Linked DNA regions of Daphnia pulex. The protein of the gene in region 4 purifies or fractionates together with the protein of the main gene of each other region. This does not show direct contact. Links are inferred from orthologs where the notes say so. Each region holds a gene or a part of one and is shown on either strand. Other genes may lie near its edges.

Region 1 (4,336 bases), on a different chromosome or scaffold from region 4:
TTCCAAACTCCACATCCACTTTATCTGAAATAGGTAAATAGTGGGAGCAAATCCCAAGTTGGCTAGACTGGACAAGACTGGACTCGCCAGGGACTCGCAGGCTAATGAAGACTAATGAAGTAATTGGTTAGCGAATTAACCATAAAAATAATGAGGTAATATGATTTATTACTTTTGTATATTATCAAATAGACACCAACGAAAATTTCTTCTGAATCTTGATTTTATGACTTGTCCGGCTGCATTCTAGTTTCGCGCATGATTAGTAGGCCTACAGCAACCTACTAATGTATCCTACCAAGTTACATTCCCTCTGATATTTTTCAATGAAAAAAGAATCTTAAACTCTACGATATGAGACTTTAATTTTTTTATTTCCGTTGGTGAATGAAATATTTGAAATAAGAATAAGAATAAACGCGCAAACATCTACAGATCATAGAATTGGAATTTAGAAAAGTGATTAGTTAAGAATAGTGTGTCGATCATAAATATGTCGACGTTGTTCTTGAACAGTTTTCTTCCACTTATCAGTAGTTTGGCCAACACGGTTGAGCACACCTGCTCCACTTGCCCTTAAAGGTTGAGAATGGGTTTCACTTTCATCCTGTAGGATAAATTAGTTAAAAAGATGATTGAAGGAAGAAAAGGGAGAAATTTATAGAATACCTCTTCATTATTATGTTCTTGATATTGTGTAGTGGTTTTCTTGTTGAGAAGGGGATCAAGACAAACAAGAAACAGCATGTATATGACTAGTAGAGATATTATCCAGATAACAATAATTACAACAACCTGAAATTTAAAAAAATTTATATTAGAATAGTCTACAATACATTATGTCAACAGTTTTTTTGCCTTGATTGTTGTTGTGTTCCTGCTTTCGTACTTGCATTCACATCGTGGACAAAATTCTTTTTCCTTTCCTTTGATATCATCCCCTACCCTTGGGAGCACAACATTTGTACAATCACATTTGTTAGGTGGAACATTTTCAATGTAAAGTTTTCTATGTGACTGAGTTCCGTTTACTACGGCGGTATCTGGACAAATGCACTTGCATCTGACATCCTCATACTGTGCATTCACCTATTAGGACAAAAACAAACAAAACCAAAATCATTAAATTTCTAAGCAATGTTTTCTTAATAGTAAACATAAAAATCAATACATCACTGATGAATGAGAAGATGAAAAGGACGAAAAAAGAAAGAAAGAAACTCTTTCGAAGTGTCATAATTGCAGCAAAATCCGATACTGATTTGTCGGAAACAAAACAGCTGACAGACTGTCGACCACAGCTTGTGGCGCCAACTGGTTTGCTATTTAAAAAAAAAAAGAAACATTGTTTTTGTTCAAAGAGGAAATGGGTCGTTAAACATGTATTACAGCAATAAAAATTTAAACGTTACTGTGGAATTGAAATTTAATTACTTATTCTTTTTAGTTCTAAATAAACTTTTCTCCATTTTCGCCACTTAGGAGCCCCCATCTGACAACACTGTTTTGTTCCTAGCGCGCCATCTCGAAATTCTACTGTTACCTAAAAACGTGCCCAACTCTGTCGGCTGCGAAGTGCGAACTGCGAAGTTTGGAGGACGTTGTACTCGAAGTAGTGGAAAAGATTGTGTTAAAAGAATCAAGAATTCAAACTATCTGAGTGCACTGGAAATTGGAATATATAGGTATGGCCCATTTCAATCTCATTTAAAATTATGAACTGCTAATGCTAATTGTGTTTTTTTTTGTGATTTTTCCGAAATCCCAGAAATCGTGGGACGTTCATTTTCAGAAGAAAACGATGGCGGATGATTTACCTTTTCGAGCAGAATATGCAAAGACGGGTCGAGCTAGTTGCAAGAAATGCAAAGAAAACATTCCTCAAGGCACTCTACGACTTGCTGTAATCTTTCAGGTAACATTTTATTTTTTATTGTTTGGTTCTGGACTTTGTACACTAGTACAGTATTGTTGTTTTAGGCTGCCAAATTTGATGGGAAAATGGTTTCGTGGTACCACTTTGATTGCTTTTTTGAAAGGCAACGGCCCAAATCAGCTGGTGACATTGAACATTTTGATCAATTGCGCTGGGAAGATCAAGAGAAAATTAATCAGATGCTCAAAAGTAAAACATTACTAATATTGCTATACATTGTATTTAGTTGATTTCTAACTATTTCCTTTTTCCAAAGAAATCAGTGAAGGTGGGATTGCTGAACCAAGTAAAAAAGGAAAAGGCAAGGGGAAAACAGCTAAAGTTGCTGAACCCTTTTCTGATTTTCTAATTGAGTATGCAAAATCTGGGAGAGCTGCATGTCGAGGCTGCTTAGAAAAAATTGCAAAAGTATTATAATCATTAAGTGCAAGTTCTAAAACGATCCATGTTCAAACATGTCTATAATGTTCAAATTGTAGGATGAATTGAGGATATCAAAGAAAGGATACGACACCAAAGGAGGCATGAGACATGGACAAATGTTGGATATGTGGTACCACGTCAAATGTTTTAAAGAGCGACGAGAAGAATTAGAATTTGTTAGCGGAGTGGATACAATCCCTGGATTTAAAGATCTAACTGCCGACGACAAAAAAGTTCTCTCAAAAGAACTCCCTGCTCTTTCCGCTAAGTATTGACAAGAATCGAAATTTGGAAAATCATGTATTATAACGGTTTCTTTTTTCAGCAAACGAAAAGTTGACGGGGATGCTGTCGACGGACCTTCGGATGCAAAGAAGATAAAGAAAGAAGAAAAAGAAAATGAACAGCTCAAGGAAGAGATCAAGAAGCAAAATAAAATTCAGTTTAAATACAGAGACCAGTTGGAAACTCTGACAAAACAAGAACTCCAGATTCTGCTGGAATACAACGATCAGCAAATTCCTTCTGGAACATCTGAAGTACTTGCACTTTTTATTAATATTTTTATTTTCTTCTGAGTGTTAATCAATATGTCGCATAGTTAAACTATATGCAGCTATTTATCTTTTTAGATGTTGGACCTTCTTGCCGATGTAATGGCGTTTGGAGCTTTGCTTCCATGCAATGAATGCAAAAGTGGACAGTTTTTCTACAAGTGATTAAAATAATAGAAATTTCAAGTCGGTAAGCCTTACCTATATAGATTTACTTCTTCTTCTACAACAGGAGTGGCATGGGTTATCAATGCTCTGGAAACATGAGTGGCTGGACGAAGTGCCCCAACTCGACAACAACTCCCGAAAGGAAACCATTCAAAGTTCCATCGGACCTCTCGGAAAATTACTCATTTTTGTAATAAGGCTGTTGTTGCCATACATTAAGTTACTTTCTAAACTTCATTCTTCTATAGGAAAAAGTACAAATATGTTCCCGGACAGAGGGTAATCCCAGCGCTAACTCGCACTATTCGTATGAATCCAACCGAAGAAGTGAACGTGAAAAAAGAAAAGTAGCTATTTACTCAACTAGATAACGTGCTAGTTCTGTCTATTAATGTTTTCTTTTTCTTTTAGATCCGATTCGAAACGCCCACCCACACTAGAAGGCTTGAAATTCATTCTTGATTCCAAGCTTGAAAAGTCTAAAGAAAAAGTCGAAGCTGAAATAAAAAAATTACTAGGTTCTGTAGGTTCGCGCGTTACCGAAAAAATTGCAGCCGTAATTTCTACGAAAGGTTAGAAATTTGAGTGGGTAGTTTCTCTTATGAGATTAAGCCTTTATATGTGGTATTACTGTTTTACAGACAATTTAAAAGAAAAGGATTCAAAGTTGAAGAAAGCGTCTGAACTCGGTATTCATGTTGTAGACCTTAGCTTTTTGGATGCAATCAAAGCAAGCACTGGCGAATCTGCCTCATCCATTATAACGAAGAAAAACATCGCACCATGGGATTGCCACAGTGTAAATTTTTTTTCTTTTATTGCCCTAATTTTTGAGATTTTTTAAAAACTGTAATAAATCTAGATCGAGAAGCGTCTTGGTTTGGACGAGTCGGGTGCCACGAAATCTTCTGGAAAATCGAAAGGCTCAGGTTGGTTGGACTGTTTATTACTTTTAATGTTTCCCAGTAAAAACTGTAGTATAAGTATGGGGGAGTCATACGCTTTAAACTTGCAAGTAAATCAAGTTCAAGGTCACAACTCAATCCTAAATTAATTGAGTCGTCTGATGACTATGAAGGGATCCAAGTCTGCCCTCATAGACAGATACGCGACTAACATATTTGTTGATTTATTTCACGCTAAAAACGAAGCTGAATCTCGTAACTAAATTGTGTTTTCGTTTGCAGAAAAATCTGGTTCAGGCATGTCCGATAAACTGAAGCTGAAACTTAAAGGAGGAGGAGTAGTTGATCCC
Region 2 (4,384 bases), on a different chromosome or scaffold from region 4:
AAGTGGAAATTGTCGCCATCAGTTGTTTGATACAAAACGAATTTCATGTAGACCGTGCTGCTCCTCAACCTCCGTTTCAACAGCATTTTTGTCGTAAGCTACAATTATGGAAACGATTGAATGAAGATACATGTTTAAAAAAATCAATTTTCGTAGTTGTAGGCCGTCCATCTGAAGAACCTTGGCCACTAGATCATCGCGATACCATGAAAACGACAAAACTAACGAAAATAGAACTAGCCGAGAACGAACGAGCCCTGCTTAATCTTTTTCTGGCCAAAATTAACAAAATCGACCCCGATGTAATTGTCGGGCACGATGTAGCTTCCTACGACTTGGACATACTTCTCCATCGTTTCACCCAGAACAAAGTAGATCAGTGGTCTCGTCTGGGCCGACTACGTCGCACCAATATGCCTATGTCTAAGGTTTGCTTAGACATTAGATTAACACTCAAGTAAGAATAATAATAATAAAAAAATTTAAAGGGTGTCAGTCGCAGTCATCTTGTCATGAGTGGGCGTTTGGTGTGTGATGTGAAGATTTCGGCAAAAGAACTTATACGCGCAAGGAGCTACGACCTCGAAACGCTGTGTCAACAGGTTTGATAATTGAACCACACCTTATACATCTCAATTAATGCATTGTCTTGTTCAATAAGGTTTTACATTTAAACGGAGTTCGCCCAGATTTGAGTTCAGATTCTGTTAAAAAGATGTACTCGACTTCAACCAGTCTGTTGGGAATGATAGCCATTACTATGCAAGATGGCGCGAACACACTAAGATTGATGTATGAATTAAACGTCCTTCCCTTAGCTTTGCAAATTACTTCGATTGCAGGTAATTCGAAGGAATCGATTTTAATGAAAAGAATTATGCAAATTTTTCTAATATTTTAGGAAACTTGCTTTCTCGAACTCTTCTGGGAGGTCGTTCAGAACGCAACGAGTATCTATTGCTCCATGCATTTCACGAGAAGGGGTTTATCGTTCCAGATAAGCAGGCTTTTAAAAAATCAAAGAAAGGAGAAGATTCTGATCCTGAGGATGTTTCGACTGAAAATGCTAATCGTAGCAAGAAAGGTCGTCGGAAACCAGCCTATGCTGGTGGTTTGGTTCTGGATCCCAAGCGAGGTTTCTACGACAAGTTTGTTCTTTTAATGGACTTCAACTCGCTGTACCCGAGCATTATTCAAGAATTCAATATATGCTTTACCACTGTCGATCGACAAGTAGCAACTAAAGCAACTGAAGGACAAGAAGAAATTCTTCCCGACCTACCTGATCCGACGTTGCCCCTTGGCATTTTGCCTACTGAAATTCGAAAGTTGGTTGACAGTCGACGTGAAGTGAAAAAGCTCATCAACGATAAGTTATCTAAGGATCTTTTACTTCAGTATGATATCAGACAGAAAGCATTGAAATTGACGGCAAACAGCATGTACGGCTGCCTGGGATTTTCCAATTCACGTTTTTACGCCAAACCTTTGGCCGCGCTTATTACATGTAAGTTACATTTCAGCTTTAACGTTATGCATTTTAATTTCCATTGCATTTTTCTGTAGCCAAAGGACGTGAGATTCTACTGCAGACTAGGGATCTTGTCCGTAAAATGAATTTGGACGTCATCTACGGAGACACTGATTCGTTAATGATAGATTCTAATTCAGTTGACTATGATCAAGTCATGAAAGTGGGTCTTAAGGTAACCATTATCAGCAGAATTTATTCCTAAATGTTATTTTATTCAATTGTTTGTTGTTTTGTTCAGATTAAACAGGAAGTCAATAAGTTGTACAAACACCTTGAGCTCGACATTGATGGGGTATTCCAGCGCTTACTTTTGCTGAAGAAAAAGAAATACGCAGCCGTTACAGTTTCTCAGGTGATCCGTGATAACAAAAAAGAAATGGTTACTCAACAAGAGGTCAAGGGTCTGGATATTGTACGAAGAGACTGGTCGCAGCTTGCTACTCGGGCTGGAAAGTAAATATCTTCAGTATTGATTCTTTGGGCTAGCGACAGCATCTATATTTATTTATTACAATTTGGTTTGGTCCAGGTACGCACTGGAACAAATATTAGGTGATTTATCGGCAGATGAACGAATCGCTCGGATTCAACAAAATTTAGAAGATATTCGTGATGGATTTCAGAACGGAACCATTGATCTCTCTTTGTTAGAGATTACCAAACAGCTAACTAAGAATCCAGAAAATTACCCCGACGCAAAAAATCTTTCTCATGTCCAAGTTGCAATCAGGACAAATTCCCGGGGTGGTAAGAAACTTGTACAAGGCGATACAGTTTCGTTCATCATTTGTCAGGTATTTAATGACTCGATTGAATTGCCAATGCAATAAAAACAAAGTTTATAAACATATGAACAAACTTGTGAAATAGGACGGAAGCAATATGGCCGCCACTCAACGAGCGTATTCCATGGAGGAACTCAAGATGCCAACAAATGGGCATTTAAAGCCTGACATTCAATATTATTTGGCACAACAAGTTCATCCAGTTGTTTCTCGATTGTGCGACCTTCTAGAAGGAATTGACGCTGTTAGAATTGCTGAATTCCTTGGTAAGTTGTCATTGTAATTATTTAAAATTTTGTATGGTGAGACCGCGAGAGTTAATAAATGGTATTTGTGCAGGCATCGATGCTTCTGGATATCGATCGACACAAGCAGCCAGCAACGAATACGAAACTGGTAGTCCTCCGGTGACTGACGAAGAAAGATTTCAATCATGTGAAAAGTAAGACTCATAAAATTTAATCAGGAAAATGGATCTTTGACAAATGAATTTCAACGTCTAGGTTTTATTACCAATGCTCTGACAAGGCTTGTGGTTTTGAAATGTCGATGGACAACGTTTTCCGCAAAACGGTATGTAGGATATGTTACCTGCTTGAAATGATTAAATTTATCAAGCTTTATTATTGGTCGATGTTACATAGGACGACGGCAACATCGAGTTTGCGTTGTCTCGGTGTGGAAATCCCAATTGCAAGAAGACACCATTTAGTGCGGAAAAATTTCTCGTCAACCGTTTGACGCATACCGTTAGAAAGCACATTCAACTTTATTATGCGGTAAATAACTCGGATATATTGTGTTAGAAATTTTATGTTAACTACTTTGTTAATGAAATAAAATAAATAAATAGGGCTGGTTAGTATGTGAAGACAGAAGTTGCGCTACAAGAACCAGGCGCATACCGTTGAAGTCCACAAATACACATCCCGTTTGCATAGGATGTGGAACCAGCAACATGGATCCTGAGGTATTATTTTTTCGTTGCTTTATTTTGCTTTTGAGTTTTAGAGACATTAATACTCGTTGATGATCACAGTACAATGATTTGGATCTATACACTCAACTGTGTTACTACCAACACATGTTTGACGCATCCAAAGCCATCAGTCAGCTTCAACCAAGCGAACGAGGTATTTTTATTTTCACTACATATTGTTCTATCTTTCATTCACTTTTCTTCTTTTTTTTTTAAGATAAAGTCAAATTGGCGTACAATAACTCCATGGATAAAGCTTATAAGGCTCTCTTAAATAATATCAATCAGATTCTTTTAGAGAGTGGATATTCACAGGTAAACCTTGCTGGTCTCTTCTATGGTCTTAACCGCCCGAAAAATGAAACATAAATATTTTACTAATAGAATGTGACTAGCTAATTTTTAGTTTCGCTATAAAAATATGAATGTTTTGAATAAATTACGTGTCATTTTTACAGCTGGCTGTAGCAACTTGTACAATTTATGATTTAAAGATGATTTGGTGTACTGTATTTTTCATTTCACTTACAAATGTGAATATTTTAATGAATTAAATAATTAATCTTAGAGCAGAATTTGTCCACCTCCAGAATATTCAATTCTCTGTTGAGGATCAATAAAAGCCAACCAATCTGATGAATGAGTAGGAAGGAGGCCCATGGATTGGCACTTGTAAAGAGCAAGCCCCAGTGCAACCAACTGGCCCAAGATGTAGACTAGGATTTGTCCAATTGCCTGGGTTCCCTCCAACATCTTGAAAGCTGAAAAAAAAATTATACTGTATTTAAAAGGTATGACTTGTTTGAATAATAGTTGTGAAAATATACTTTGGTTCATGCTGAACAACGCACGAATGGGCCTCACAAACATCATGCCAACCATCATAATTGGAAATATGGAAATGGAACTTCCCACCATGTACATCATGAACAAATTCATAGGTACCTATTTCAGAAACAGACAAATTTACATTCTATAGACTTATTAACCTTTAAAAGGCACAAGACTGAACTTTATCAAATATTCGAACAGAATAATTCTTTCAAATTACAATTTTTTCCCTTACAATTATTATCTTTTTTCATA
Region 3 (4,142 bases), about 1.1 Mb from region 4:
TGATTACATCCCACTCGATTACAGTCTCATACGAGTGCAGGCCAATTGGGCTCATTTAGATCCACGCCAGCAAAAGGGAAGTGCTTTTGTACGTGATTTTACAAGCACCGACCCTCCTGCAATACCACTCGGCCCGGCTAGTCCTGATCCTGTTCCCGTTGCAGCTCCCATCCGGCATTATGAGCCAGAACCATCAACTTACAGCCCCCTACGAGCGGCTCCAAATGATCCGCGGGCTCGGGATCCACGCCGTGTAGCTGCCCCACAGTCACATCAGACGTCGATGCTCCCAGATAAGCGAGGCATTTCCGGAGGTGTTGGACTACTAGGAGCTGCTCCACCGGGTATGCTTCCTTTACTACCGAAAGGAAGTTCTCTAGATATTTTGCCGCAAGAAACGTCTTACGCTAACTTCCGGAACGTCAACCCATCTTACGGCGATCGGAATGCTAGTGATGAATTGAATCAGCCATCACGACAGGTCGAAAACCGTCGGGATCCGCGCCAACGGGATCCACGCCAACAAAAGAACTCGCCAGCTATTGCCGACTCGTCGGAGAGATCGTACACCCCTCCTCCGAATGAGCGAGTCTTCCGTTAAGCTCTTATGATTTATATGTGGGACGCTCCAATCGAACTTGTGTATTTTGTTGAGTGAATTAGTTGAAAGGGTCTTGACATTTGCTTAAGAATATTTGGCTGAACCATTTCTATACTTGGATTGTTCGGAACTGTACAGCGATATAATGTTCTACGCTTGATTGGATCACAATTCCACCGTGTCTCATTTGTTTGATATACACATAATCATTATCCGATCAACGATTATGGCATTGTTTTTTCAGTCCTCTGATGAAAAGCCATTATTTCATTTCATACTCGTTTTATCCGCTAAATTACCAGGATTTTTCTCGATTTAATATGTTCATTTTTGATGTTGATAACATGTATTGGATCCTGTAGACTTAGATAAGCAATCTGTACAATCCGTGAGAAGGTAACCATACACTTTTATTACTACCTACTACTTTTATTACTGCACCAAATTGCGTTTCTATCTTGCTTTCATTGATTTTGGATTACGTATGATTCTTGGGACTCCCAAGACGGACGTCCAAGGTTTTGGTTGTTTGAATCGCGCTCTTTGCTTCTTACTGTCACGTTGCCAGGTTTCTAGAAAGAAAATGTGTGATCGAAGAAAGAAAAAATTGTTTGGCAACAGACATTTCCCGCCAAATTATTGGTTTGTTGAAAGTTGAAATGTCTGGCCAGGGGAATGTGAAAAACCAAAATATCGTAAAATTTTGGTGTATTTACCAATGGATCTAAATAATAACGAAAAATATATTTTTCCTTAAAAAAATTGTTTTACGACTATTTAAAAAATACATATTACTTCATTTATTTTTTTCGAGAGTAGTTAGCAACACTGCATGTGAAGCACTCTTCTGACAGAAAAATAGAAAAGAGCGGCTGAGAGTTCAGACACGATTTACAAGAGTTAGCAGCTAACATATACATAACCTTCAGTTAGTATATACTTGAAATCAGAATAGTGCTTTCAATATTTCAAATTCTAAAGCTAAATATAAGATAAGCCATTTTTGAGTTCTTAACTAGAAATTATAGTTGTCATAAAATGGAAGTTGATGGAGCATCAGATACAACATTGGTTGATTCCTCAAAAATTAGTGGAAGAAAGGATAATATGCCATGGTAATTGTTAGTTTTCACAGTAGTTAGACAAGTGAACAACAGTAGTCTATCTTTGGTAATTGAAAATGATTATCAGTATAGATACCTTGACTTTCATTTTTCATTACAGATATTTTCACGTTGAAATAGTTATTCACTTCATTCAAATTGTGTACATGTTTTATTCGTTACAATGTCTGTCTTATTGTGTTAAAGGGTTGAAAAATACCGCCCTACAACCTTTGGAGAAATTGTTGGAAACGAGGATGCTGTTGGAAGATTAGAGGTGTTTGCAAGAGAAGGAAATACTCCAAATATCATTATTGCTGTAAGTAAAGGTGTATTTAGTCATTTGAACTCTCAAGTCTACAAAATGTTTTATAAACTTTTTTTCAGGGTCCTCCTGGTGTAGGGAAAACCACTACAATCCTATGTTTAGCCCGCACTTTACTTGGTATTGACTTGTTTTATTTTTTGTCAGTGATATAACTCAGATTTAATTTTCATAATTATAACTGCTATAGGCCCAAACTACAAAGAGGCTGTCTTGGAACTGAATGCATCAAACGAAAGAGGAATTGATATTGTGAGAAACAAAATCAAAATGTTTGCACAGCAAAAAGTTACTTTGCCTAAAGGCAGACAAAAGATTGTCATTCTGGATGAAGCAGACAGGTACTAATCAAATATTGCTGTGATTAATTGTATTAACATTAAAATTTGGTTTTATTTCATTAAAGCATGACTGAAGGCGCTCAACAGGCTCTCCGACGTAAAGTGAAATTTTAGAATATTTTAGAATATTTACTTACTTTATGTTTTCGTTCAAACGACAGGCACAATGGAGTTGTTTAGTAAAACAACACGATTTGCCTTGGCCTGCAACACGAGCGAAAAAATTATTGAACCTATTCAGGTAGGCAATGACATCCATTTTTATATTTATTCTCTCATTATCATTTTTATTCTCATTCTTTAGAGTCGTTGCGCCATGATTAGATACGGGAAGCTAACTGATGCTCAAATTCTTCAAAAAATGATAGAAGTTTGTAAATTAGAAAAAGTCAGTCATACTGATGACGGATTGGAAGCCATTGTTTTTACTGCGCAAGGAGATTTGCGACAAGTGTGTTAAATATTACATAGTTAGAATCAGGTTTGTTAACAATTTTACTTTTAGGGTCTAAATAATCTGCAGTCAACTGTGCAAGGATTTGACCACGTAAACAGTGAAAATGTTTTCAAAGTAAGCTATTCATGATCAAGACATCTATACATATTCTTTTAATACTTTGTCATATTAACAGGTATGTGATGAACCTCATCCAATGCTCATTAAAGATATGATTGACCATTGCGTGAAGGGGAAAATTGATGAAGCGTATACGGTGTGTATATTACTAGTTACGATAAAAGGAATAATAATTTTGCAACTCGTTGTTTAATTTTTAAATGCAGATCATGTCTCATTTGTATGAACTGGGTTATGCGGCTGAAGATATCATATCAAGCGTGTTTCGAGTTTGCAGAAATCATACCATTCCAGAATACATCATGCTTGAATTTATTCAGGTAAGTTGTTCAATGTTTTCTTTTTTACAGCTTTGGTCGTGAATTGAAATGTTTTGGTTTGTGAATCTTTCCATCAAAGGAAATTGGTTTGACCCACATGAAAATTGCCCAAGGAATGGGTTCTTTGTTGCAGATGTCAGGCCTTCTTGCGCGGCTATGCAAAAAAGTTATTGCTCCTGAAAAGCTATCATATTGATTTCCTTCATTCTCTTAATTGTCAATAAATGCTTGCCGAAGACTGTAATCTTTTTAAACCTCCGTTTAAAGATGTGGAAGTTGCTTTAAAAATACGTAAGTTTGAAACATGCTTTATTAATAATGTTTATTTTGATTCTATTTTGCGTTCCACTTCAGTTTCAGAAACTCAAGAAGAAACGCAGGTTTTGATAACATTTTTATTGAAACCAGCCCTGAAGGATAATTTCAGAAAAAATCTCGGTTTGTTACATGGGGTTTTCAATCCATTTGTCTAAAAAACTAAGCTAATAAGTCGAGATTTGTGCAGATTTTACGTAAAAGCAGAACTGCTGTCAACCAAAAAGGAAAAATCTGTCATTTCAAAAATCTGTTATTTTCAAAATACTTCAAAAGAAACAAAATTATTTACTTTAATAAGTTCCGTATGTATGATTAGAATCTGAGTTGGAAATGAGCTGTTCGTTTTCGCCGATGATGACATCATCGGAAGCGGAAGTGACTCCAACTTGCACGACTTTGGGTAGACCATCTTCTGATAATGAGAGCTGCGCATTGGAAGTTGCGGCTTTTGATTTAGCAATGGATGTTAACATATTTAACAGCAATAGTAGTGCAACTGCCAAATTCAATAATCCGATAACCGTTATAGCCAGGGGAAAATCATATGCATCAACTAA
Region 4 (4,597 bases):
TGCAACTTTTGACAATCGCGGTTGCAATATTGCACAGATTTGCATATGGAACACTTGCTGGCTACCTTCTCTTGGCCGCAAGTGGCACAGGCGTCGTCATCTTGAAATCCACGCTGACCGTTGATGCAGGAAGTGAGAAGATTGAGAGCTAGTGGAGTCTCCTCTTTTGTCTTGGACAGATTGACCAGCAACTGGCGGAAGATGGTCGTCTCCTTGAAAGGGAAAGTGCGGATCGACTCGCGGATGAAGTTGTCCATAAACTCGGGAAAACCATCGGATTGACGTTGCTTCAAAAATGCTTTAACATATTGATTTAATAACTCCAAAACGGTTTTGTCGGGGTGCTGCTGCTGCTCTTTGGCCATTCTTTCGACTAGGAAACGCAAATAGTGGTATTTAAGTGCGAGGATCTCGTTGACTTCTTGGCTGCGCTTCATCTGATTTTCGCTAAGTATCTCCAAGACGTTTTTCACTTTTGTGAGGTTATCGTAAAGCAAAGGAAGTTTTTGAATAGTCAACAAAAGGTGAACTGGATGCAGATTGACCTGATAAATCAAACAAAACAAAAAGTTCAAGTGCTTTTCCGTGGCAGAATAAGAAATGAAGTGATGTGTCTATTCAAGTGCACAACCTGCATCACAAATTTGTGCAAAGCTGGTGCAGCAGCTGGTGGCAATTTTGGCTCAGTTTGATCGCTAGGAGCTACAGTGTACTGCTCTATTTCTGAGCGTGGAATGAAATTGTTGATGATGGAAACAACTGTGTGATTCCCTGGTTTGCCAAAATAATTCATTTTAGTTTTGGATGATTTGTACAAACATTATGATTGACTAGCCTACCTACAAATGCAGCCATTTGAGCTGCAGTTCTGCCTACTGAGTTAACCACATCAGGTTTACAACCACACTGAAGTAATTGTTGACAAATATCCAAATTTCCAGACAGAGCTGCAAAATGAAGGGAAGTATACTTGTGTTCATGATGACCTCCATTGGCATCAGCTCCCTTCGAGAAAAAAAGTCAACTTTTCAATCAAATTAACAACATTGATAATATAGTTAGACTTACCAGGTCAAGGAGCAACTGGCAAATATCTTTTTTCCCTTTAAAAGCGGCATGTTGCAGTAATGTCATTCCATGCTCATCCTCATCGTCAATTTCAACGTCCCGGGATTTTATAAGTTCTTGCAAACCACTAGTATCATTGTTGTTAATCTTGTCAATAGCTTTAATAAAGTTTTCCGAAATCATTTTTCGAGATTCTTTGGCAATTAACTCGTTTTTGAAGGAAATCAAATAATTCAGTCACAAATTTTCATATAACGATATAGTTTCCGTTGTCGTCTGCAACTGTTGCTATAACAACCGGACATTTCGAAAAACAAAAAATCCAACAACGCCAAAAATGCGAATAAAACGAAAACTTATTTTTGCTTCGTATGAACCTTTATTTCAGAAAAAAAACTTTTTCATTATTTTTCTTCTTTATATTTTTAGTGGTCTTCATTGAGTTAAAAAGTTTCTTAAACATTCAACGCTGCACGTTCAGCCTTGGTTTCGTTTGTACCACTGTTGTTTTCCCGCCATCGCACTTCGTCGTCTTGTCCGTAAAAACTGCTTAAAAAAATTCAAGCACGTTGACTGAACGAAGTAATCCCCGTTAAAAAAGGTTCCGTAAAATGAACAGAAGAAATCACCCAGCACTAACCAGCGGCGCAATTCCGGTAATATCAATCATAATTTCGAATTTTTGAATAAAACTATAAATATCTTTATTTCGACATAGTCCATCATTGGGAATGGCCTGCACAATGAAACTCCAATTCTACAAGTTTTGGTAAGCAACGAGCAAGATTTTTTCTTCATTTGCAGCATTTTTACATTTTCTTCTCTTACAATAGGGTTACAAAAATCTTCAGGGAGACAATAATGACCGTTACAGAATTCTCATCTCTGATGGAAAGTATTCCTATGCATATGGAATGTTGGCAACACAACTAAATCATCTGATTGTGGATGGTCAGCTTGAGAACTTTACCATCATTAGAGTAAAAAAGTTTGTTGTTAACAAAGTTGCTACTAAGGCAACTGCAGGCAAGGACCAAAAGAAAATTATCATTCTTTTGGATGTTGAGCCAATTGTGCCTGGAAGTGAAGTATGTTCACTTTACTTAGTTTCGAAATACAAATAAGGATATCTCTTCATTTTGAACATTTTTTGTTTAGGTTGGAGAAAAAATAGGAAACCCTCAGACTCTTAATGATGTTGGAGAGGTTACTGAAGAGGCAGCAGCAAAACCTGCACCTTTAGGAAATGTGAACAATTACAATATGGGATCGAAGTCTGCACCACCTAACAAAACTGGTGGATATGGACAGCCAACAGAGAAGTCTGACATTATTACCCATCCGATTGTAAGCCTTACACCCTACCAAAACAAGTATGTTTGTTGAGAAATTTCAGTACAAGAAAAATTGAATCATTAACTTTGCTTGTTTGTAGGTGGACTGTAAAAGTGAGAATTATAAACAAGTCCGATATCCGTACGTGGAGCAATTCTCGAGGTGAAGGAAAGCTTTTCTCGATGGACATGGTGGATGAGACTGGTGAAATCCGTGCCACTGCATTCAATGCCGAGTGTGACAAGTTTTACCACATGATTGAGGTACATTTAATTCAAAAACAGTGTTTGAAGTTATTTATTTACATTGTTATTTTTCGTTGTAGATCGGCAAGATCTTTTACATTTCACAAGCACAACTGAAGGCAGCAAACAAACAGTACAGCAGTATGAGGAACGATTATGAAATGTCGTTCAACCAAAATACTACAGTATGAATGTTTTTCAATCGTCAATCGTACCAGCCTCAATTTTTTTTTCTTTTACTTATTTTTTAGGTAATTCCTTGCCACGATGATACATCAGATATCCCATCAATCTCCTTCAACTTTGTTCCCATTGATCAGCTACCTAGCCTGGACAAGGACAGTGTTATTGGTAAGTTGTCTTTTAGGTGCATTAACATTACAATTCTTCTATTTGAATGGTGCCTACGATATGACCGATTGACCGTGCTTTCAGATGTCATTGGTGTGGTTAAGTCAGCAAATGACGTCCGCGTTATCGTTTCCAAAACGACAAATAAAGAATTGAGGATGCGAGAAGTTCAGATGGTGGACAGTACCAACACAGAGGTATGACTGGATTCTTCGTTTAATTGTCGAGCCCAGTTAATTAATCATTCTTGTCTTCAAACATCAGGTTAATTTGACTTTATGGGGAAAAATGGGCGAGGAATTTGACGCTAGCTCCCAGCCTGTTGTAGCATTAAAAGGAGTGAAACTTTCTGATTTTGGAGGTCGTTCTCTAGGAACAGTCTCGTCTACTGTCGTGCAGGTAAAATCAAATGTAAGACTTTCTATTTCTCTACTATTCTACAGCGCATATTTTTAATAGATCAATCCTGACATGAATGAAGCTCACAAACTAAGAGGGTGGTACGATAACGGTGGCTCATCATCGGCCGCTTCTAGCATTTCGGCGAGTCGTGGCGCTGGCACTGGTGGTAGTGGTGGGTCGTATAAGACTTTCGCTGAAGCAAAATTCGAAAACCTGGGAAAAGATAAACCTGATTTCTACAGTGTTAAGGCTATGGTTGCTATGATCAACAAAGAAAGAGCGTTGTACATGGCTTGTCCCAGTGATGAATGCAACAAAAAGGTAAACATAAATATATAATAAAACAACTCATTTTTGACAATATTTGCGTTTCCCGCAGGTCATCGATCAAAACAATGGCCTCTATCGATGTGAGAAATGCCAGCGCGAATTCCAGGAATTCAAATGGCGCATGATGCTTTCGGTATGACAAAGATATTTTATGAAATCTATTTCTCTCAAAACAGCACTCGAAATTTGTTATAGGTCAATATCGCGGATGCCACGGACCAGCAATGGGTAACCTGCTTCCAAGAAACCGCTGAAACTCTTCTTGGTAATTTTGTTTTCGAACTAATGTTACGTTTAGCATATAATATTTATTTATTTGATTATAAATTTTAGGGAAATCCGCAGACGAGGTCGGTAGATTGAAGGATTCGGATAATAACGAATTTCAGAAAATTTTCGAAGAAGCTACTTTTAAGTGGTATGTCTTCCGCCTGAGAGTGAAAATGGAGACGTACAATGTAAGTCTATGAGCATTATGAATTTCGATCTTGTTATCTGTTGACGCTTTTACCTTTTCTTTAGGATGAAAGCCGCCTCAAAACAAATGTCTATGAAGTGAAGGAAATCAACTATAAAGAGCACAACGAGCGATTGATTCGAGAAATGAAAGAAATGGCTGCATCAGAATGAATGGATTTTCCCTTGCTCCTTATCTATTAAACTTATAAAAAACCTTCATTTTCGGATTATACAGGAACAATTCTTTATGAATTCCTGTTCTTGTGAATCAAATCGAGATCCCGGAAAAACCGTGTGTGTAACATGATAATAAATGATTTGCAAAATAAACATGGATATTACAAAAAATAATTTTTCAGACAACTGCAAATGTATTGTTTTTCGCAGCTCATGTGCAATGAAATATT
Region 5 (4,389 bases), on a different chromosome or scaffold from region 4:
TAAGTCAGCCTCGAGTAGTCGAAGCCTGGAACAACTTTTTGCGCGTATTAGAGGAAACTCAAAATAATGCAAGAAAAGGAAACTAAGAAAATGTTCAGACTATAATTAGAATCTCAGGGGACCTTCGGGTGATTGCAATTTTTTATATTGGCTTTCTTTATTCGAGATCTACCAAACATAACTATTTTATCATACTTTTAATACACACACAAAGAAGCAAGTTTGTACGCCTGATTTTACTTAATGTTTCGTTAAAAATAAGCTGTAATACCAAGGTTTATACAAGAACAAAGAATGTATTGAACTCCGGGGAATAAGATTTATATTAAAATGAATTAACTGAAAATTGGAATATTAGTGGCTGCGATAGGGTGCGATACATGATTCGTTTAAATAATGTTGGTTGCAGAATTGACGTTTGAAGTTTGCGCTTGTCGGGTCAACATGTTAACCGCCTAAAGGAGAAAGATAATTTAGTTTGTTTTATCCAATGTACGACAAGAATTTGGTTTACCTTATCCATAACTTGCTGACGAAAGAATCCGTTGGCGTAATTCGAAACGGCCCCAGTTAGGTTTGTGCCTTTGCCTAACTTACATCGCAGATACCCATACACATTAGCTCCATTCAGAGAAAGAGCAATACAATCTAAAACTAGCCAACGAAAGCTGAATCTGAATATAGCAAGAATGAAGAGGATGGACCATACTAGAGGGAAAACAATTAAACCTATCCAAAATACTCTAGATTCGGCAGCATGCACTTTTCGTACATCACCTTCCTAAAAAAAACAGAAAAAATGTATTTGAAAAAATGTAAAAAATTATTTTTTCATCATGGTATACCTTTCGTGCCTCATAGACCCAGTGACTCTTGCCTTCACCATCAACGTAACTCCACCACCTGAGCCCTACCAAGATCCTTCCTGCAAATGATGTTCATAATTGAGTAATATTCAATAATACATTCATATGGTGAAATACCTGTAATATTTTTTACAGTCCAGAAGTCTAGAGAGAGTAGGATAACTGTGAAAACAAAACTAGTAACAAATCCATCTGAGAACCAGCCACAGAAAAGGTAAACAAGGAGAGCAGCTGCTCTGAAGCCAAAGTGGAAAAGAACTACATAAGGATGCCTATTTAAGTAAAAGATAGTGAGTCATTAATAAATTTAATGAGTATTATTTTTTCTGAAACCTGAAACGTCAACATCAAGATAGGATTAAACTTACCGGAACTGTTTCGGATTTTCTTCCTCTCCAAATCCAGGCGTGTCATCGTCAATTAACGCGGCCTTACATGACAAATAATATACATTTTAAATTGTTTTTAAATAAATGAATTTGATTAAAAATTGTTTTTAACTTACATTGGCAGCAGACGAAGCCATGGTTGCTGACGTTGACATAAAGAAGTTGCGTTTTTGGCCGCTTGGACTTGGTTTGTAAAGATTGCGCACAAGAGACGTAAGAAACTGGCAACGTTCTGTTATGGTAATTAGGTGTTTTTTCAAAGTCCTCACTCCCTTTGATGTTAGAGATTTAGTTCTAGTGGACCGATTAGCACGTGTATTTGCATAGTTAGATGGTTATAGAATAACACATTTATAAGAATTCTATTTCTTTGATATATTTATTAAACCTAACTAAAGATGCCTCTTACGCCCGATCAAATAAAGTTGATGGAAGAAAACCGTCGTAAGGCTATTGAAAAACGTGCTGCTGCAAAACAAACCGAAACGAATCAAGTAGTTACAAACAACAATAGAAGCAATTTTTCTGCTGGGAGTTCAGCTGTTTTAAGACCTCCTACCCCTGCAATTAACCCATCAGTTGGAATAAGTCCTTCAGGTGCTTCTTCGTTTTATTCAAGACCTCAATATTCGGGGGGGAAATCCACTTGGAACTCTCCAGGTTCTTCTAGTAAATTTCCACCAAAGAATGCTAACTCCGGTTCATCAGCCAGTTCTTCAAGACCTACGGCAACATTTCAGTTGATCTCAAGAAGAAAATTTTGTGTTGATGCACCATTTGACAATGAAATGATAGAGATATTTAAAAAGTTCCCCACAAAAAGTTATGATGGAGTTCTTAGAAGATGGACTTTTCCCCTTTCTGATCATCAAAAGTTGCTGGAGAGCCTTGATCCATTGCTAACAAGATTTCAATTTCAGCCATTGCCAAAGTTTGTTTTGGATATTTTTAGGTAAAAAGATTGCATCCATATACTTTTCAAATAAAAGGTGTAATCAGGATTTCCCTTTTAATTTACAGTAATGCCCCATTTGAAAAAACGATACCTGAAGTTGATATAAGCAGCATAGACCCAAAATTGTACGAGTCTCTACTTCCATTCCAAAAACAGGGCATTTGCTATGGAATTCATTTGCAAGGAAGGATCCTAATTGCTGATGACATGGGTATTCTTTTAAATTAATCATTAGCTAAGTTTCTTCCTTTTTATTGTATTTAATTTCCTTATGTCTTCCTTTTCTAGGCTTGGGGAAAACTCTGCAGGCATTAGGTCTTGCACATTATTATCTTGCTGATTGGCCTTTGCTCATTTTAACACCATCTTCAATGAAATTTGCCTGGGATGAAGCAGTTAAAGTATGGTTACCAAGTGTCCCATTACATCATATACAAGTATGTGAAAAGACAAAAAAAAATGAAATGTTCATTAGATCAACATTACTTTTTAAAAGGTTATTTGCTCAGGAAAGGATTACATCGACAAAGAAGTTTCAGTAACAATTTGCTCATACGACTTGCTTACAAAGAAACTAGACGAACTAGTAGCAATGAACTTCAAAACCATTATATTTGATGAAAGCCACCTCGTAAAAAGTATTATCATTTTATTTTTTAAATTTTTGTTTGAGAGTTTTTTTTTTTAACTACCAAGTTTTAATAATAGGCGGAAAATCAAAACGAACTACCGCTGCAAACTCTGTAAGTGCTGAAGCAAAGAGGGTGATTCTTCTATCTGGGACTCCGGCATTATCTCGCCCTGAGGAACTGTATAGCCAGCTACAGATTTTAGAGAGGAAACCGTTTGGGTAAGGAACTTTGCCATTTATTCAAATTCAGGAGTTTGAACTGTAGTCAACACAATTTGCTATAATGATGGTTAGACACTTCCATGCTTTCGGATTACGTTATTGTGAAGCCAAAAAAACAAAATTCGGATGGAATTATGGTGGAGCAACCAATATGAACGAGTTACAACTAATCCTTGAAGAGAAATATTTGATAAGACGTCTTAAAAGTGAGGTTCTTTCACAGCTGCCAGCAAAACAAAGGTAATAAATAGCAACAATGATAAAATGATGAGTAATTAATTATCAATTTTTCATTTTAGGCAAATGGTTGTCCTTGATCCTAATGCTGTCAAATGTCATTCGCCCTCAATGGATACGTTGGCTAAAAACATGACAAAGGAACATTCCAAACCAATGGAAAAACGGGGTGTTCTACTATCTTACTATTCCGAAACGGCAAAAGCCAAAAGCAAAGCTGTGTGGTAATTTTTAGAAATGTAGCTACATTTAAACAAAATTATACTTATTTTCCTGTCTTTCCCATCTGTCTTTTCCAGCGACTATATTGCAGACTTATTGGAGAATGGCAAGAAATTCCTCTGTTTTGCTCATCATCAATGCTTGTTAAATGACATTAGTCGGTGCATTGAAGAAAAATCTAAAGCAGGGTAATAGACCTTATAATTGAATTTTATAAATTTTAATTAACGTTATTTTAAAGTTACATTCGGATTGATGGATCGGTCTCTTCGGACGAGCGGAAGAAGTTATGTGATGTTTTTCAAAATAAGGAAAGTGTTCGGGTCGCTGTGCTATCGATCACAGCTGCAAACACTGGATTAACTTTGACGTCAGCCAATCTAGTCGTTTTTGCTGAACTGTTTTGGAATCCCGGTGTATGCTAAAAAAAATATTAGAAAGAATTCAGAATTTTACGTAAGCCGTTATTGATTTCATACAGGTCTTAACTCAAGCTGAAGATCGCGCTCATCGTATTGGTCAACGGGATAGCGTCGTAGTCCAATATCTAGTAGCAAGAGAAACTGCCGACGATTATCTTTGGCCCCTTGTGCAGAACAAGCTGGATATTTTGAGCAAAGCTGGACTCAGTAAAGATAACTTTCATGAAGCGGATACTAGATATCTCTCCGTAAATTCCGACGAGCCCCTTCATTGCATTCTATTTCTATCCCTTATTTATTTATTTTTTAATATTTCAGAATGCCAAACCGGCCCAGGCTTCCATTATTGATTTCTTGGAAGAATTGTCGAGTGAGGATTTGTTGGCACTGGATGAAGCGGAAAAAAACTACGGCGAACCGGAGAGCAAAAGGTCTAAAGCAAACT
Region 6 (4,624 bases), about 4.8 Mb from region 4:
TTTGAATTGGGTAAGGGTCCGTTTAGCTCACTGTACACTTGGCAAGATTCTAGGTGCTCCTTGGAATTCCTCAGCGAAGTTCCCAAACCAGACTCCCATTTGAGAATTGCATCAGGATATGGATGTGCCACACTTTTATGGAAGCTGAGAAATGAGCCAGAAGAGCTTTCGCTTTACAGCTGTGCAGGGACCATCCAAGACTTTCTTGTCTCCATGCTTTGTGACCTCGACTGCCCTGTCATGTCCATTCAAAATGCTGCCAGTTGGGGTTACTTCAACACTCAAGACAAGACGTGGAATCTAGACATCTTGAAAACTGTCGACTTCCCCATCCATCTTCTCCCGAAAGTAATGGATAGCGGATCCGTGGCGGGTACCTTGTCGAAAACCTGGTGCGGCATCCCGCGTGGAACGCAAGTGCTTACCGCCTTGGGGGACATGCAGTGCTCCGTGTTATCCACCCTTGCTAACGAGATTGCATGCACGGCCGTGTTAAACATCTCGACATCTGCTCAACTTTCTTTTCGCATGCCGGCCGACTTCACTCTGCCGGACACGCAATCATCTATCGAATATTTCCCGTATTTTGACAACCGCTATCTGGCCGTCGCTGCTTCGTTGAACGGGGGCAACGTCATGGCTTCTTTCGTTCGGATGCTGCAGTCCTGGATGCAGGATTTGGGCTTCGGGGTTCCGCAGAGCTTGATTTGGGATAAAATGCTGACCCTGGTGAAGCAATCAAATTCAACTGAACAAGCCATGACCATCATTCCGACCCTTTTTGGCGAACGTCATCTATCCAGGTTGCCCGCCGCCGAAGTATCCAACATAAATTCGGGAAATATTAGTCTCGGCAATGTGGCGAAAGCATTATTTGAGGGACTCATCACCAACTTGCACAAGTAATAAATTATCTTCTTTATTGCTAGTTTTCTTGACGGTTTGATTTTTATGTTTTCACCAAACAGCATGATGTCCACCACTCTGCTGGAACAGTACGGAGTTACCCAGTTGGTTGGAACCGGATCTGCCCTTAGTCGAAACCAACCTCTTCAACAGCAAGTTGCCGTTCAATATAAAAACATTCCATTTAAAACCGTGCAAGAAGGAGATGCATCTTACGGAGCAGCTCTGGCCGCTTTAAATACTCCACGAACGCCCACGGATTGATAAAACTAAATCAATATTTTCTATAGTCGTTTACCAGCATACGTACTTGCCATTATTTGCCAAACAAATTATCAACATTTTATTATTAGAATATTGCAACGCAAATAAGCTTGCCTTTTAAGTCATTTTAGAGACGCAACTTTACAACTTTTGTCAGTTCACCACTGGATTTTCCACATCTATTAATCTATAATTCTATAGTATTGTTTTTTAAATTTTATTTCAAATTATTTTAATGTTTTTGTGCTTTGTACAATTCTTTTCTCTTAAAATAAATGATCCACTCTTGCCTAAACAAGTAGTTTTTGTCTTATAATTTTAATTTTTAAAAAACTTAAATTAGCTTAAATTTTTTAAGCGACGCATTAGGTTGGCGGAGAGAAGAGGCTTCCATATTGGCGGGTGATCTAACAAAAGGGATGGGAAGTCATGTTATTATTTTCTCATTTCAAATTGTCGGGGATTAAACACGTTTCTTTGAATCGTTTAGAGTTTACTAGATGTTGTAAAACAACTGCCGTATCAGCAGAGTCTTGTAAAATGGTCCAGGTAACATGTCGCAAGAATTGGTATCATCCTTGTACGAATGATGTTACTATTTCCTCATGGGTATTGAACGAAACGTTCGTCTCAAATTCGATGTTTATCTGTAGGTGCTTAATGTAGCAGAGAAAAACGATGCTGCCAAAAATATTGCTGAACTTCTTTCTCGCGGTAATACTTCACACAGTCACAATGCTTAAGCTGCCAAATGTAATAGGATTATATGTTCTTCATTACATTAGGTCGTGCAAATCGTAGAGAAGGCCGAAGCAAATTCAACAAAATCTATGAGTTTGAACATAATCTTTTCAACCAAAATGTCAAAATGGCAGTTACTTCAGTAACTGGTCATCTTCTATCTTCTGACTTTGTTGGAAATTATAAAAAGTGGCATGGGGTTAATCCTGTTACTTTGTTTGAAGCTCCAATTCATAAATTTGTTGCCGATGACTATCAAGACATCAAAAGAACTTTGGAGGAAGAAACCAAAAAGAGCAAATACCTGATCATTTGGACCGATTGTGATAGAGAAGGTGAAAATATTGGCTATGAAGTAATCACAGTATGTCAGGCAATCAAGCCTAGCATTCAAGTGTTCAGAGCAAAGTTCTCTGAAATAACATACCAAGTAAAAGGCTAACTATCTTAATGAAATTTACAATCTAATTCCATTTGTCTAATTTTATTTTATAGTCAATTGCTCGAGCACTTCAAAATTTGGGCCCCCCTAACAAAAATGTCAGTGATGCAGTGGATCTTAGAATTGAGTTGGATCTTAGAATTGGTGCTGCATTTACAAGATTTCAAACTCTACGACTTCAAAAAGTCTTCCCAGGCTCACTTGGTAAGTGGATTTGTTGGCTGTATCAAGTCTACGACAAATAAATTCAACATTTCAATAATAATGTTTAAAATTTGTAGGCCAATCTATGATCAGTTATGGTTCGTGTCAGTTCCCAACTCTAGGCTTTATTGTCGAGCGATATAAAGCCATACAGGATTTTGTGAGAGAGAATTTTTGGAAACTCAAAGTTGTCTGGGAGCTCAATGAGGAAGAGCGCGTTGAATTCCTTTGGAAAAGACACCATTTGTTTGATCAAACAGTGGTTCAAATACTCCTTGAAAAGTATTTGTTATTATTATCAACTAGCATTATCAACTAAAATTCAAGTGTTATTAGTTTTGATTAAATTTATATTACTATGATATTGATAAAAGATGCCAGGAGAACCCTGAAGCTGAAATAATCAAAGTTCAAACAAAGAATAAAAGCAAATGGAGACCTTTGCCTTTAGACACTGTTGTATGTGAAATTTTTTTGTCTGGTCTATTTTTCCGCATATAATTTTACATCACGATTTATGTCATAGGAACTTGAAAAGCTAGCATCCAGGAAACTGCGAATCAATGCCAAGGAAACGATGAAGATTGCCGAGAAATTGTACACTCAAGGATTCATCAGTTACCCACGTACCGAAACAAATATCTTTCCCAAAGAATTGGACCTGACTCCTTTGGTCCAGTGTCAGGTATATCATGACAAACTTAACTATTCGTGTTCTTGAATTATAATCATATTGGTTACGCTAAAATATTTTGCATTAGACGGTTGATCCTGCTTGGGGAGGATTCGCTCAACGCGTTTTGGACGAAGGGCTGAACCCTCGCCAGGGGAAGAAAAGTGATCAGGCCCATCCTCCCATTCATCCAACAAAATATGCAGGAAATTTAAATAATGAGAATGAACGCAAACTTTACGAGTTTATCGTTCGCCATTTTTTAGCTTGCGTCAGTAAGGATGCCCAGGTATGTTGAGGAATTTATTTTATTTCCACGTTCCGCTAAGTTTATGGTTCTTACAGGGTTACGAAACGGTGGCCGAAATCGAAATTCAAGAAGAAGGCTTCGTCGCCAGTGGATTGCAAATAGTAGCAAGAAACTATTTGGAAGTATATCCGTACGAGCGCTGGAGTGATCGTAGTCTTCCCCAACTCAATGAAGGCCAGCGCTTCATCGTATAAAACTTAAACATTTCCAGGATATTCCGGTCAAATACTAATTGTTGTTTGCCTTTTATAGCCGACATCGATAACCATGGATGAGGGAGAAACTAGTCCACCTCAACTATTAAGTGAAGCTGATTTGATTTCATTGATGGAAAAACATGGAATTGGTACTGACGCCACACATGCTGACCATATTGAGACGGTCAAATCGCGGCAGTACGCTGGCGTACAAGGCGACGGACGCTTCTTACCTTGTTCATTGGGTATGGGACTCGTACAGGGTTATGACGCCATGGGGATCGCGCTTTCAAAGCCAAATCTCAGAGCTGAACTCGAGGCTGATCTTAAAAGGTTGGAAAAATTAAATTAAAACCTAACCCCGTCCTAGTATTAATTGCACATTTAATCTTGCAGAGTTTGCGATGGAGAAAGGAATCCGAATGATGTCTTGAGAGAGCAGATTGAAAGATACAGAAGGGTGTTTGTACAAGCAATGGAACAGGTAAACTTGTTTTCACGAATGGTTGCCATTTCAAATCAAGTTAAAATAATTACAATAACCACAATAGGTCATCAAAATCGACGAGGCTCTTTCGACATTCTTTAATGAGGAACGACAGGAAGCACCACCGATGATTCCTGAGGGAGGACCAGATGCAAATTTGCCTTACCGAAAGTGCCCTGCTTGTAACTTGGACATGACTCTGCGACGGAAAAAGGACAACAGTTTCTTTTTCTCTTGTATGGGCTTTCCTGAATGTAAAACCGCCGTCTGGCTGCCAGCTGCTGTACAGCAAGTGGAAGTTGATGCGGAAAAGTGTAACGCGGTCTGTATTTCGTCTTTTATTTAACAACTATCGTGCTTCTCTGTTTTTTACAAGTCAATCTCTTCTCCAGTGTCCTTT
Region 7 (3,171 bases), on a different chromosome or scaffold from region 4:
ACGTCAGAACGTCAGATCAGATATCGATATTATTTGCGACGGTTTCAATAAAACGTAGCGGCAAAAAAGGACAGGGCGGGGTATCGATAAATTTTGGGGGGATAAAGACGGAAAAGTGTTTTTGAAGCGATTTTGAAAGGGAAAATAGCGATCGGCAGCCAGCAGCCTAGTTGGAACTTGGAAGAGTAGGTCGATAACCAAAGAACTGAAAAAAGGAAAGAAGGTCTATAGGGTCCAAAGCTCGGCTGTATCTCTCATGTTTTATTTACATTTTTTCTTTGTTTCCCTATTTTCAATAAAATGGAAAATTCTATCAAGAAATATTTCTTATTTAGTTTTTACGGAATTACTACTCATTTAAAACAATTATTTCACTTTGACGTTAATCCCTATTTTGGCCTAGAGTGATTGTACTAACTATACAAGAATCGATTCCCCTCTTCGTGAGAAATTTCGTTGCTTACGTTTTTATAAGATTAGACGAATCTTGTTGCTCTAGGGATCTTGGTAAATTATTTAATAATTCACTTATGAAGAAACTGAACATTCAACAAAGTTTTCCACAAACTTCACATTTTTATTTCAAAGTACAATTGAGAAGAGAAAGTGGGATCAAACTGCTAAGGCAAATTTTCAAGAAACATGTCAATATCCAAAATTTCAGAGTTGTTTTCATTAGTTTCAGCTGTAGTTTCAGATATCACAGTATCCACTGTAGCATTTAACTCTGGCAATATTTTAGAGGTAAAGCTCTCATTTGAACAAGTATCATTTAAATTGGAAGTATTAAGCATCAATCTTGATTTCCGTTTTTCTTCAGCTTTTCTTTTGTTTTCAGCCATTCTACTCTGTTGATCTTCAGATATATGAGTCAGAGACTGCGAAGGTCGCGACATCACAGTACTAAACACATCTGTTCCTCTTTCAGTAATGTTGTCAAATTGTGCATCTGTGTTTTCCAAAGTTTCCTCGATTTCTTGTTCAGTATCTAACATTCCCATTCGAAATCGTTTCATATAGACCTATCATACATGTCATAACATCAATTAATGTAGGTTCAACCAAATACAGACAAATTAGATTAATAATACCTGCACAGATTTGTTATTCCCAAGTTTTGCAACACTTTCAATGCAATCATCAAATGGTAGTTTAGGAAACAATCGATGAGCCCAGTGTTCCATTTGAGAGAGAACCGTTTCAAGATCTGATTTCTCATGACCTTTCCCTTGCAATTTTACATTTTTAAAATTCTGTATGACAGCTGTGATTCCTCTTGGACCACATACTCTGTTATTCCAATAAAAATGTTGATTGTAATATAAAAAGTAATAAAATAAAGTGAATTAATAAAGGTGTAATACCTGTTTGGATCAAGCTTTAACTGCTGACTCCTTACTAATTTACGTGTTTTGGTTGTTTCTGACTTTTTGTCCCCTATAATGAAAATAATGTAGGCTTTAGATTGGAACTTATTTTTCATAAGACTAATTACACTTACGTTTTCCTTTATCAGCATCTACTTCCCCATTCTTTGAGTTTGAATCATTTTCTTCGGCACTGTATGAGGTTTTTTCGTATTCTCCAAATATATCATCAACTTCTTGATCACTCATGTTAAATTCAAATTGTTATTCGTTTGGGCCGGGAGTGGAGTGGAGTGGATAAAGTTTGGGGTTGAGAGAATGCGGGATGGATGTAGTAAACTGCGGGGTTGTGTGCGGTTTCTGATGAAATCGATTTATTATTAATCGATCCGATCGTGGCATGACGCAAACCCAAATTCTCGCGGGAAACGAAATAAACCATTTTGAAATTTCAATTCTTTTGAAACTTGATTCTTGAAAAAAAGACGCTTGATTTCTTAAAAATACAGCTATTTTGACAGCTATTCATTTAAAAATTCAAAATGCGTTTGAGTTTTAATTAAATGGACGAGATATGAAGCTTTTCGTCAAAGACCCATTTGTAACGAATTCAAAGCCATCTTCCTATCGTTGCTGGATGCGTTTACTGTTGTGGCCCCCCTTCCTATCCGCTTTGCTTTATTGAAACATAACGTCAGATCACTTATCGATATTATATTTGCGGCGGTTTCAATAAAACGTAGTGACAAAAAACTCTGTTCCAAAAAGATCCTCGCCGCCAACAGGGAGCTTCTCTGCTGCACGGGAAAGTAAGCCGATGTGGTTTGGGTGAGTCTGGGTGAGGATGTTGAGACGTCTGGAGTGGGTAATCTCACGGAAAAGATGGGCCCAGAGAAGTGACAGCGTCTTTAATGCTTTGGTGTCCTTGTCGCTTCTCTTACTTTTCCTCTCAAGGAGAAAAAGAAGAGGTTTGGCCATGTCCAGGACGACGTCCGTCTGTTTCCGGTACACTTTTTCCAGCTGATCAATGTTGGGCATCGATGCATTGGAATTCTTTGTAGATTTAAGGGCCGCGTAAAAAGTCTCGTCCAATTTTGGGTTCGTGAACAGCTCAGAGGCACTGATACTAGCCTTTTTGTCACGTTTGACGTCAGGCCTGTACGCCTCTCTAGCCGCCTTAAGGTTCTTCTCACCTATGCCCTTCACAATCCAATTGGCGAGGACCGACGACTTACGTTTGCTAACTTCAAACCTTTTCGACTTTAATTTAATAATGTCTGAAAAGGTGCTTGAAAAAGATTTAGATGATGATGCGGAACTCGAAGATGAGTCAGAGTCGGAACTTGAACTCGAACTCGACTTACGAGAACGCTTTGACTTACTATGCTTAGCCATGCTTGCTATGCTAGAGCAAAAAAAGATCTGAATAGTTTAAGCGCGTTTGGAACCTCATAGGCTTCACCCACACCCTCCTTTTTCTTTCTTTAGTATGGCACTGTTGCCATACTTCAAGTCAAGCTTGCTACAAATATGCTGAATATAAATGGTCACACACAGTTCTGTCGAACGAATTTTACTAAATAATCCTGTTCGTTACGCAAGTTTGGGTTTTGCCATTCCCTACAATTTGCTTATTAAATTTACATATGTGTATCGTGGGTTAGTTCAAATAACAAGCAAATGACAAGTAAATAATTCATTTGAATTCTGATGTGCCCATTGACAAAGAATGATTTTGGGAAGATAAATATTGTTTGCTGTTTTTAATATTCAAAACACATTTTGTTTGGATGTTGAGGTGTTA

The links.
Region 1: the proteins of replication protein A 70 kDa DNA-binding subunit-like (region 4) and poly [ADP-ribose] polymerase 1-like purify together in Homo sapiens (affinity purification with mass spectrometry; 3 studies listed by BioGRID, with this or other methods). This does not show direct contact. The link is inferred for Daphnia pulex from reciprocal best matches to the Homo sapiens genes RPA1 and PARP1.
Region 2: the proteins of replication protein A 70 kDa DNA-binding subunit-like (region 4) and DNA polymerase alpha catalytic subunit-like purify together in Homo sapiens (affinity purification with mass spectrometry; 3 studies listed by BioGRID and IntAct, with this or other methods). This does not show direct contact. The link is inferred for Daphnia pulex from reciprocal best matches to the Homo sapiens genes RPA1 and POLA1.
Region 3: the proteins of replication protein A 70 kDa DNA-binding subunit-like (region 4) and replication factor C subunit 2-like purify together in Homo sapiens (affinity purification with mass spectrometry, with the first as the bait; 3 studies listed by BioGRID). This does not show direct contact. The link is inferred for Daphnia pulex from reciprocal best matches to the Homo sapiens genes RPA1 and RFC2.
Region 5: the proteins of replication protein A 70 kDa DNA-binding subunit-like (region 4) and SWI/SNF-related matrix-associated actin-dependent regulator of chromatin subfamily A-like protein 1 purify together in Homo sapiens (affinity purification with mass spectrometry; 8 studies listed by BioGRID and IntAct, with this or other methods). This does not show direct contact. The link is inferred for Daphnia pulex from reciprocal best matches to the Homo sapiens genes RPA1 and SMARCAL1.
Region 6: the proteins of replication protein A 70 kDa DNA-binding subunit-like (region 4) and DNA topoisomerase 3-alpha-like purify together in Homo sapiens (affinity purification with mass spectrometry; 4 studies listed by BioGRID and IntAct, with this or other methods). This does not show direct contact. The link is inferred for Daphnia pulex from reciprocal best matches to the Homo sapiens genes RPA1 and TOP3A.
Region 7: the proteins of replication protein A 70 kDa DNA-binding subunit-like (region 4) and TIMELESS-interacting protein-like purify together in Homo sapiens (affinity purification with western blotting; 4 studies listed by BioGRID and IntAct, with this or other methods). This does not show direct contact. The link is inferred for Daphnia pulex from reciprocal best matches to the Homo sapiens genes RPA1 and TIPIN.

The regions. Positions count from the first base shown.
Region 1 is NC_060024.1:8,492,734-8,497,069, forward strand, and holds the start of poly [ADP-ribose] polymerase 1-like, read left to right. Parts: upstream 1-1,527; 5' UTR 1,528-1,685; intron 1,686-1,768; 5' UTR 1,769-1,801; coding exon 1,802-1,915; intron 1,916-1,980; coding exon 1,981-2,125; intron 2,126-2,192; coding exon 2,193-2,344; intron 2,345-2,415; coding exon 2,416-2,627; intron 2,628-2,684; coding exon 2,685-2,898; intron 2,899-2,991; coding exon 2,992-3,074; intron 3,075-3,145; coding exon 3,146-3,271; intron 3,272-3,329; coding exon 3,330-3,428; intron 3,429-3,492; coding exon 3,493-3,653; intron 3,654-3,722; coding exon 3,723-3,880; intron 3,881-3,943; coding exon 3,944-4,010; intron 4,011-4,268; coding exon 4,269-4,336. Other genes in the region: uncharacterized protein CG1161-like, read right to left, coding at 464-607, 670-795, 859-1,089, 1,172-1,237. UniProt on the Homo sapiens protein: Poly-ADP-ribosyltransferase that mediates poly-ADP-ribosylation of proteins and plays a key role in DNA repair.
Region 2 is NC_060022.1:1,991,663-1,996,046, forward strand, and holds the end of DNA polymerase alpha catalytic subunit-like, read left to right. Parts: coding exon 1-93; intron 94-156; coding exon 157-428; intron 429-488; coding exon 489-602; intron 603-661; coding exon 662-842; intron 843-901; coding exon 902-1,507; intron 1,508-1,566; coding exon 1,567-1,706; intron 1,707-1,772; coding exon 1,773-1,987; intron 1,988-2,063; coding exon 2,064-2,328; intron 2,329-2,404; coding exon 2,405-2,585; intron 2,586-2,658; coding exon 2,659-2,761; intron 2,762-2,822; coding exon 2,823-2,892; intron 2,893-2,963; coding exon 2,964-3,098; intron 3,099-3,172; coding exon 3,173-3,289; intron 3,290-3,358; coding exon 3,359-3,452; intron 3,453-3,515; coding exon 3,516-3,667; 3' UTR 3,668-3,755; downstream 3,756-4,384. Other genes in the region: ER membrane protein complex subunit 4-like, read right to left, coding at 3,863-4,059, 4,126-4,243. UniProt on the Homo sapiens protein: Catalytic subunit of the DNA polymerase alpha complex (also known as the alpha DNA polymerase-primase complex) which plays an essential role in the initiation of DNA synthesis.
Region 3 is NC_060017.1:4,126,010-4,130,151, forward strand, and holds replication factor C subunit 2-like, read left to right. Parts: upstream 1-1,421; 5' UTR 1,422-1,639; coding exon 1,640-1,716; intron 1,717-1,911; coding exon 1,912-2,023; intron 2,024-2,091; coding exon 2,092-2,149; intron 2,150-2,219; coding exon 2,220-2,370; intron 2,371-2,435; coding exon 2,436-2,467; intron 2,468-2,531; coding exon 2,532-2,611; intron 2,612-2,674; coding exon 2,675-2,821; intron 2,822-2,875; coding exon 2,876-2,941; intron 2,942-3,002; coding exon 3,003-3,083; intron 3,084-3,153; coding exon 3,154-3,267; intron 3,268-3,346; coding exon 3,347-3,463; 3' UTR 3,464-3,505; downstream 3,506-4,142. Other genes in the region: zinc finger CCCH domain-containing protein 4-like, read left to right, coding at 1-601; MFS-type transporter SLC18B1-like, read right to left, coding at 3,876-4,142.
Region 4 is NC_060017.1:3,019,364-3,023,960, reverse strand, and holds replication protein A 70 kDa DNA-binding subunit-like, read left to right. Parts: upstream 1-1,555; 5' UTR 1,556-1,679; coding exon 1,680-1,724; intron 1,725-1,786; coding exon 1,787-1,837; intron 1,838-1,901; coding exon 1,902-2,156; intron 2,157-2,226; coding exon 2,227-2,441; intron 2,442-2,503; coding exon 2,504-2,666; intron 2,667-2,728; coding exon 2,729-2,833; intron 2,834-2,899; coding exon 2,900-2,999; intron 3,000-3,083; coding exon 3,084-3,196; intron 3,197-3,263; coding exon 3,264-3,398; intron 3,399-3,458; coding exon 3,459-3,722; intron 3,723-3,780; coding exon 3,781-3,864; intron 3,865-3,926; coding exon 3,927-3,996; intron 3,997-4,064; coding exon 4,065-4,189; intron 4,190-4,253; coding exon 4,254-4,361; 3' UTR 4,362-4,541; downstream 4,542-4,597. Other genes in the region: ankyrin repeat and MYND domain-containing protein 2-like, read right to left, coding at 1-545, 632-771, 840-1,005, 1,069-1,251. UniProt on the Homo sapiens protein: As part of the heterotrimeric replication protein A complex (RPA/RP-A), binds and stabilizes single-stranded DNA intermediates that form during DNA replication or upon DNA stress.
Region 5 is NC_060018.1:6,032,726-6,037,114, forward strand, and holds the start of SWI/SNF-related matrix-associated actin-dependent regulator of chromatin subfamily A-like protein 1, read left to right. Parts: upstream 1-1,456; 5' UTR 1,457-1,653; coding exon 1,654-2,207; intron 2,208-2,275; coding exon 2,276-2,421; intron 2,422-2,498; coding exon 2,499-2,647; intron 2,648-2,706; coding exon 2,707-2,848; intron 2,849-2,918; coding exon 2,919-3,060; intron 3,061-3,135; coding exon 3,136-3,303; intron 3,304-3,362; coding exon 3,363-3,524; intron 3,525-3,599; coding exon 3,600-3,710; intron 3,711-3,763; coding exon 3,764-3,938; intron 3,939-4,003; coding exon 4,004-4,192; intron 4,193-4,262; coding exon 4,263-4,389. Other genes in the region: uncharacterized protein LOC124188637, read left to right, coding at 1-86; uncharacterized Golgi apparatus membrane protein-like protein CG5021, read right to left, coding at 390-455, 515-781, 846-925, 984-1,138, 1,235-1,296, 1,372-1,410. UniProt on the Homo sapiens protein: ATP-dependent annealing helicase that binds selectively to fork DNA relative to ssDNA or dsDNA and catalyzes the rewinding of the stably unwound DNA. Rewinds single-stranded DNA bubbles that are stably bound by replication protein A (RPA).
Region 6 is NC_060017.1:7,798,376-7,802,999, reverse strand, and holds the start of DNA topoisomerase 3-alpha-like, read left to right. Parts: upstream 1-1,558; 5' UTR 1,559-1,599; coding exon 1,600-1,719; intron 1,720-1,823; coding exon 1,824-1,884; intron 1,885-1,955; coding exon 1,956-2,341; intron 2,342-2,406; coding exon 2,407-2,557; intron 2,558-2,634; coding exon 2,635-2,839; intron 2,840-2,931; coding exon 2,932-3,016; intron 3,017-3,083; coding exon 3,084-3,242; intron 3,243-3,318; coding exon 3,319-3,519; intron 3,520-3,575; coding exon 3,576-3,728; intron 3,729-3,792; coding exon 3,793-4,070; intron 4,071-4,133; coding exon 4,134-4,221; intron 4,222-4,288; coding exon 4,289-4,546; intron 4,547-4,616; coding exon 4,617-4,624. Other genes in the region: sedoheptulokinase-like, read left to right, coding at 1-902, 969-1,170. UniProt on the Homo sapiens protein: Releases the supercoiling and torsional tension of DNA introduced during the DNA replication and transcription by transiently cleaving and rejoining one strand of the DNA duplex.
Region 7 is NC_060019.1:12,256,543-12,259,713, forward strand, and holds TIMELESS-interacting protein-like, read right to left. Parts: upstream 1,702-3,171; 5' UTR 1,617-1,701; coding exon 1,502-1,616; intron 1,438-1,501; coding exon 1,365-1,437; intron 1,291-1,364; coding exon 1,092-1,290; intron 1,023-1,091; coding exon 621-1,022; 3' UTR 557-620; downstream 1-556. Other genes in the region: bumetanide-sensitive sodium-(potassium)-chloride cotransporter-like, read right to left, coding at 3,169-3,171.